2 linked regions of the Macaca mulatta genome follow. The main gene of each other region encodes a partner of the protein of the gene in region 2 in a complex. Links are inferred from orthologs where the notes say so. Each region holds a gene or a part of one and is shown on either strand. Other genes may lie near its edges. The genes, in order: FETUB and MEP1A.

What was found.
Region 1: the proteins of MEP1A (region 2) and FETUB are in contact, whole or in part, in a cryo-EM structure (PDB 7UAI), measured with the Homo sapiens proteins. The link is inferred for Macaca mulatta from reciprocal best matches to the Homo sapiens genes MEP1A and FETUB. Residues at the interface, in NP_005579.2 of Homo sapiens: Asp126, Gly127, Cys128, Trp129, Ser130, Glu131, Val132, Gln145, Gly146, Cys147, Tyr149, Ile152, His155, Glu156, His159, Tyr164, His165, Gln167, Ser168, Leu184, Gly186, Tyr187, His189, Asn190, Asp192, Tyr194, Tyr214, Gln215, Phe217, Ser218; in NP_001362516.1 of Homo sapiens: Phe109, Phe110, Lys144, Lys145, Tyr148, Met149, Thr150, Cys151, Pro152, Asp153, Cys154, Pro155, Ser156, Ser157, Ile158, Ser196, Ser197, Gln198, Trp199, Val200, Val201, Gly202, Tyr205, Phe206, Thr242, His245, Trp246, Phe249, Val250, Ser251.

The regions. Positions count from the first base shown.
Region 1 is NC_133407.1:98,808,081-98,812,354, forward strand, and holds the start of FETUB (fetuin-B), read left to right. Parts: upstream 1-1,415; 5' UTR 1,416-1,697; intron 1,698-4,274. UniProt on the Homo sapiens protein: Protease inhibitor required for egg fertilization.
Region 2 is NC_133409.1:135,389,289-135,393,106, forward strand, and holds part of MEP1A (meprin A subunit alpha), read right to left. Parts: intron 1,584-3,818; coding exon 1,543-1,583; intron 1,083-1,542; coding exon 1,007-1,082; intron 1-1,006.

The sequences.
Region 1 (4,274 bases), on a different chromosome or scaffold from region 2:
CAATCTCCACCTCCTGGGTTCAAATGATTCTCCTGCCTCAGCCTCCCTAGTGGCTGGACTTACAGGCATGCACCACCACGCCCAGCTAGGTTTTTGTATTTTAGTAGAAATGGGGTTTCACCATGTTGCCCAGGCTGGTCTTGAACTCCTGAGCTCAGTCAATCCACCCACCTCAGCCTCCCAAAGTGCTAGGATTACAGGCGTGAGCCACCGCGCCCGGCTTATTTTTTATTTTGAGGCAGAGTCTCACTCTGTCGCCCAGGCTGGAGTGCAGTGGTGTCATCTTAGCTCACTGCAACCTCTGTCTCCTGGGTTCAAGCGATTCTCTGATCTCAGCCTCCCAAGTAACTGGGATTACAGGTGTGCACCAGCACGTCCAGCTAATTTTTGTGGGTTTTTTTTTTTTTTTTGTATTTTTATTAGAGATGGGGTTTAGCCATTTTGGCCAGGTTAGTCTTCAACTTCTGATCTCAAATGATCTGCCTGCCTTGGCCTCCGAAAATGCTGGGATTACAGGCGTGAGCCACTGTGCCTGGCCTTCTATTTATTCTTTTAAAGTTCTTTCCTTAACCTTGTATTCTTCTTTTTAATGTTCGCTTTCCTTCCATTTATAAAGAAGCTTTTATAAGCAATGGTCTATACTTGCTTGTCTCCACTTCCTGAACTCCTATTCGTTTTTTTGTTTTTTTGTTTTTTTCCACAGTAATCTGGCTTCTATTGCCACCCCTCCTCTGAAACTACTACCAACAAAGATCACGGGGGAACTTCTGGATCAAATGGATACACGTTTAGCCCTTTATATTCAAGGTCTCCGTGGCATCTGACCCTCTGACCATGCCTTTCGTTTTTGAATGCAGTCCTTCCTGGCCTATGGAGCCTGTCTTTCTCCTCTGCAGCCTTTCAATCTCAGACCCTTTTTCTTTTAGCTCATCTTCCTCTGCTTCCTCCTTAAATATTAGTTTTCTCAGAGCTCCACCTCATTCTCATCTCATTGCCTTACCTGCTCTCCCAGAATGAGCTCACCCACTCCCAAGATTTTAGCCTCCACCTCTGGCTAATGATGATCTTGCTTATCCCCTTTAAGCCTTGAGTCCGTACATCCAACACATATTATGAGACTCCACTTAGAGATCGCTCAGATTCTTCAAATTTAACAGCCTCAAACTCAGGTCCCCATCCCCTCCCCCTTCCAAATCTGCTCTATTCCTGTAATGGTAGCTCAACTCTTTGACTCGGTCAAATAACCTGAAAACTCTGGAGTCATTCTTGATCCCTCACCCTTTCTTGCTGCCATATTTTGTGAGTCACCAGGTCTTGATTTCCTAAATCCTCATCATATCTCAGATCCAGTCCTTCCTCTCTGTTCCCACTGTCACTTCCACCTCTTCAGCAGTGTCTCCTCACAGGCTTTTCTCATTCACAACTGTATCACTCAGGGTTCAACCAGGTTTAGCATAACCAGGGAGGTATTGTAGGGAACTGGATTATGCAATTGTGGGGGCTGGATAAAGAGTCCCTGTAAGGCTGTCTCTGTATCTGATGCTGGAGCCTGAAGTCCACAGGGCAGGTGTTCAGAAAGAGAAGATGGATATGAAGTACGGGGAATTGACAGCAGATTGGAACCCGCAAGCATGAGCTGAGACCCTACAAGGATGGACCCTCACCCACGTCTGTTTTGGTTGCCTATGGCCTTGCTGGTAAGGGTATCCTGGAGAAGCTGGGGTCCTTTCATTGCTGCTACTTGGAATAATCTTTCTGAGAATCTAGTTCTTAAAAACTGCAGTGATTCCCCAGTACTTTTAGTATGCTATTCTAATCACTACAGCACCGAAGACTCTCAGGCTTTTGCTTGACTACTACTCCGGCCTTATATCTTGTCGTTACCTCACCATGCCTCTTCTCACCTCTTCCCTTCCACTTTCTAGTTCTCTCTCTCTCTCTCTCTCACACACACATACACACACACACACACACACACACACACAAGCACACACATATAATCTCAATTACAGTAGAAAAAAATTTACCCATAATATTTGGGGCCTGGTTTACTTAAAATTAATGAGAAAAGAGCACTTGAGCAATTTTGTTGTTACCTGCTAAAGCACATAGACAGCAAGAATTGTCACAAATTTTACACTACAAGCCAGATATCTCAAATGTCACATGAGATTTCATTTCAAAGAGTGTTACCCTGTTCTCATCAGAGAGGCTGTCCTCCCTGTGATCACTGATGGGTCCTTGGCAGCCCTGTGATATCTGTTATCTCACACTCAAGCAAATGATTCTTCAATTGTTACAATGCAGAGGATTGAAAACTAGGCAGCACTTATTTATTTATTTATTATCTTTTTGAGACAAGGTATCACTCTGTCACCAGGCTGGAGTGCAGTGGCACAATCATGGCCCACTTCAGCCTTGACATCCTGGGCTCAAGTGATACTTCTGCCTAAGCCTCCTGAGTAGCTAGGTCTACAGGTGCATGCCATCATGCCTGGCCAATTTTTAATTTTTTTTTTTTAAGAGATGAGGTCTTGCTATTTTGCCCAGGTTGAACTCAAACTCCTGGGTTCGAACGATCCTCCCAGCTCAGCACCACAAAGTGCTGGGATTACAAGCATGAGCCACTGTGCCCAGCTAGCTTTTTAAATTTTTATCCCCAACATCTAGCACAGTGCCTATCACAGAGCAGTTACTTCACTCACTGGAGAAGAACTTACGACATTACTTGAATGAAGGAACTTTTTTCTTACCCCCTAAACTCCTGATCCACCGGTCCATGGAGAAGCCCAGAAAGTCAAGCTTCACAGCCTCTCTCTGCACTTTTTTTTTTTTTTTTAAACAGACACTCACTCTGTCGCCCAGGCTGGAGGGCAGTGGCACCATCTCGGCTCCCTGCAATCTCTGCCTCCTGGGTTCAAGTGATTCTCCTGCCTTAGCCTACTGAGTAGCTGGGACTACAGGCATGCGCCACCACACACGGCTAATTTTTGTATTTTTAGTAGGGACGTAGTTTCACCATAATGGCCAGACTGGTCTCAAACTCCGCCCACCTCAGTCTCCCAAAGTGCTGGGATTACAGGCGTGAGCCACCTCTCCTGGCCTTTCTACCCTTTCAAGATAAGTTTTTGTTTACTGTGCTTGGAACATTCAAATGAAGATCATTTCCTAATGCTTTATCCACTGCCGGTGTGAATGCTATTGTTATAGTATTTCTGGAGAGCAATATGGCAAATTATTACAATTATTAATTAATTTTTTTTTTGAGACACAGTCTTGCTCCATCACCCAGGCTGGAGTGCAGTGGCGCAATGATAGCTCACTAAGTGCTCAAACTCCTGTTCTCAAGTGATCCTACCGCCGCAGCCTCTGAGTAGCTGGGACCAGAGATACATGCCTTCAAGCCCAGCTCATTTTTAAAAGGTTATTTATAGAAATGAGGTCTTGCTGTGGTGCCCAGGCTGGTCTTAAACTCCTGGCCTTAAGTGATCCACCCACTTTGGGCTCCCAAAGCACTAGCATGAACCATTGTGCCAGGCCTAAGATGGCAAATTATATCAGAAGTTTTAACAGTAAGAATTGCCCTTGACCCAGTAATTCAATTTTTAGGCATTTGTACTAAGCAAATAATTAGGGATATGAACAAAGATCTACCCACAAGAATGTTAATTGCAACATTGTTTATAATAGCAGAGAATTGGAAACAATCGACCTGTCTATCAAAGACAGTTGGCTTGAAGAACTGACTCACCTGTCAACAGACTATTGTGTAATAATTAAAAATTAAATTGCAGAAGTGGATTATTTCATATGTCAAGATGCTCAGGATCTATTGTTGTATTTTATTTATTTATTATTTTTTTTTGAGACGGAGTCTCACTCTGCAGCCCAGGCTGGAGTGCAGTGGCACTATTCTTAGCTCACTGCAAACTCCGCCTCCTGGGTTCACGCCATTCTCCTGCCTCAGCCTCCCAAGTAGCTGGAACTACAGGCGCCCACCACCACACCTGGCTAATTTTTTTGTAATTTTAATATAGACGGAGTTTCACCATATTAGCCAGGATGGTCTCGATCTCCTGACCTTGTGATCTGCCCACCTCAGCCTCCCAAAGTGCTGGGATTACAGGCGTGAGCCACCGCGCCTGGCTATTGTTGGATTTTAAAAGCAAGTTACCATATAGTAAGTGTACTAATACAGTATTTTTGTATAAAAATGCATGTGATATATGCATAGAGGAAAGTCTGGAAGGACATCCGTCAGCTATTAACAGTGT
Region 2 (3,818 bases):
ACCTGTAATGGGAAAGAACCCCTTTTAAAGTTGGTGTTTCTTAAATCATGTTCCATTAACTATTGGTGTTCCATGAATTTGCAAGGCAAACACTGGAGAAAATAACTCAATTTTCCAAGTGTTAGTGAGAACAACATTTGTTTATATCTAGCTGTTCTCCATAAAAAGGGATTCGAGGCAGCGCTGATAAAGAGGATGGAAAATACTGAAACATAATCTACATCTCCTGAGACTATAAGCAGCCTAGCAGCCCAACAAGATGAAGCAACCTTGTCCTGGCTTTCCCTCTTCACTCTAATCTTGCCCATCTGTCTAAGCAGGTGGGGCCTTGTAGGCATTGAGTCATCATGGCTGCTCAGCTGTCAGTCAACTGCTTGAGGGTGCCTACATGGGGCTTCTAATATTTATTTCTACCGGCTGTTAGTTCTATACACAATCTTAGCTGAAAGGCAGAGAAGTGATTCTACTAGTCATTATTTCTAACAATGAGTAAAATGTAACATATTCAGATCTTTTTCTCAAGAGAGAAAAGAGTAGACATTAATAACACCAAGAAAAAAGGATTGTGAACATGTGAAACATGCACTTTTCTATTTCTCAAAGTGTGGCATGTTTCTCTTGTAACAAAAAGAGAAGAAATCCGTATGCTGAAAATAGGATCCTCACACTACGTTTAGATTCACCTAAACAAAGTGCAAACTTTGCCTTGCTCTGATGCAAACTATATTTCATTGGGTTTTTGCTCTTTTACGTTGCTCCTGGTTATACTAATAGTTTAATGTGTGTTGCATTTTAAAAGTTATTCTTGGATACTGTGTATCAGACTGGTTAAGCAGCACTGGTTTTGATGTAATGTCATGTCTTTCTCCCCATGAGATAAAGATTCACCAGGACTTGAAAACCCTCTTAGACTCTGGTGGTTACTCCCAATATGAAGCCCATGATCAGGCTGAGAGGGGAGAGAGAGTTAAACCGAAAACTCCTAATTAAGAGCAATTAATATTACCCAAATTATCAGCCAAGATGTAAGGAATGGGGAACTTCCACCTGGTGTTTGGGTCTCTCAGGCCATTTCTGGAGTTCTGTGAAAACAAAGGTAAAGGTGAGTGGGAAGCCTAGTCCTCAAGATCACCTTGACCTCCTCCTTCAATAAACTCTCACACAGCAAACAGTCTATCACACAATTCAAACGGTTTAGTGGCAATTTCTCTTCTGATTATGAAAGCAATAGAAGTCCCTTGAGAGATAATTTGGAAAAATCAGAGAAATTATTAAGAACAAAATAAAGGGGGCCTGCAATCCCAGGAAAATTGGATAGATAAGCCATCTAATTATTTTAGACTCTTTTGTGCTGTTTACTTATTTTCCCTCTGTTTTCGTCCTTACCGGCTATAGTGGAACTCCTCACTGGAACAGATTATAGATGAGATTTCTGTTATCTCCTTCACAGTGCCCATCCCAGGGCTGGCGACAGAGCAGAGACTGACACCCAATGGTACTGTCTGTCCTGAGGAACTTACTGCATCTTTGACAGGTACTCACCTGCAAGAGGATGTCCCCTTGAAAGAGGTCCAAGCCTGCAGCTGGAAATGGAATTTTTTTTAAAAAAAGAATATTTGAGTGAACATTATTAAAAGGCATCTTCCATAATAAAATTAATCTTTGCCATTATAAATCTTTGAATATTAGTCTTTACGTGGCAAAACTTTTCGAAACAATACAAAAATTCCAGTTGAGCAAATGTGAATGGCCAATGAGTATCACATATTGTCATAGCCTCTGTTTTCAATTTTGAAACAATAAATCTTGTCTAAGAATCTTAAAAGTAAGAGATAAGTTAGAAGGGATTTTATTGATCACTGACTATAAAAAAGGGATTTGAGGCAGCACTGATAAGGAGGATGAAAAATATTGAGAGAATGGCTGGGGGTGGTGGCTCACGCCTGTAATCCCAGCACTTTGGGAGGCCAAGGTGGGCGGATCACCCGAAGTCAGGAGTTTGAGACCAGCCTGGCCAATGTGGTGAAACCCCTTCTCTACTAAAAGTACAAAAATTAGCTGAGCTTGGTGGTGCACACCTGTAGTCCCAGCTACTGAGGACGCTAAGGCAGGAGAATTGCTCAAACCTAGGAGGTGGAGGTTGCAGTGAGCCATGATCGCGCCACTGCACTCCAGCCTGGATGACAGAGCCAGACTCCATCCCAAAAAAGAAAAGAAAAATATTGAGAAAAATGGAGAAAAAAATAGAGTCCAGCGACATGAAGTGATGTACTACGTAATCCAGGGGCCAAGAGAGCATCAAAACTCCGGCCTTCCCATTCAGGGCTCTTTCTGCCCCCGTACCATTCTGCCTCTTGTCCCAGGGTAGATGAATGTATTCTGCTCTTCCCCATGAAAACACGATGATACCCTCCAAAACCAAGCTCAAGGTGCTGCCCACGTCATAAGGAAGACCAGAGGATTGTGGACAGATCCATTCAAAACCATACCTCCAAACATCTGTTCTCAGGTGCTTAGCAGAATACATTCTCCCACTGCTGGTATTGCTTAATCCTGGCCTCATCCTGTTTCAGTAAGCAAGATTCTTAAAAGGGAAGATCTTTGTGGGAAAATTTCTCAAGCATTAAAAGAGCATCACTTATCATAACTCTCATGTGACAAGCAACATTTTCTGTAAAATGCAACGACTTCAGACAGAATCACTGGATTGTACTTCATTCTGAGGACAGCCCTGATTTACAGGCCGGGAAACCAAAGCAGAGATTAATTACCACAGTCTCACGAGCCAACAGAGGCCCCATTTGGCAAAGCCCATGGTTCATTCAGGAACCAGCTCCATTTAGGCATAGGACACCAAGGAGGTGTTACGTATTAGCAGGCATCATGATTTCACTTGCCAGTGACTAACTAGGGCTATCCCTGCATCATTCCCTTCCTCATGCACACATTTGCTAGATTGCTTAACCTCCTTAGCCCTGACCTATTCCTATGCTAGCAGTGCAATTAAACAACCACAAACAGTAATGACATCACTGTACCACTGTCAGTAGGACCCAGATTTGAATAATCTTTTAAATAAAGGGACTTTGTTCTGGTCCATCTATTCTTTCATTGAGAATAGTTCTACTATTTGTTTGTCCTGAGCAAAAATCTGTATTTCCTGACACCTGGCCTGGATTATAATGGAATTGAGGGAGCTCTTCCAAAGTGAAGTGAACAAGCCCACTCAGACTTTGGCCCCAGTGGTCAGACAGAATGGATGGGGTCATGGGGGGCAGGGAGAACTTCCCAAAGAAGTGCACATCCAGTGAAAGCAAGCCTCAATCTATTCATTACCCAATTTGTTCACGTGGTGCGCACTTATTAAATGCCTAATGTGTCTGAAGCATTTTTCTAGATGCTGGTACATAGCAGAGAATAAAACAAAGTCCTTAAGGAGATGACACTCTTGATTGGGGGAAGAGGGAGACATACAAATAAACAAATAACTGTAAAGTATGACAAATGGTGGAAAGTACAATAAAAAAGAAACAAACGAAAGGTAAGGTGGGAAAGAGTGCTGAGGTGAGATAGGTTAGCTATTTTATTAAAGAGTGGTCAGGGAGGGCCCCCCAGAGGAAGTGGCATTTTAGCAGAAATATGATAGAGTAAGGGAATGAAGGAAATGTGGTAGAGGTAAAAGCAACACCAGATAGAAAGGTCCTGTGGCAGGAAAGCCTTGATGTCTTAGGGCAGTGGTCCTAAACTTGAGCATCAGAGTCCCCTGGAAGGCTTGGTCAACACAGGTTGATGAGCCCCCACCCTTGGATTTCTGGTTC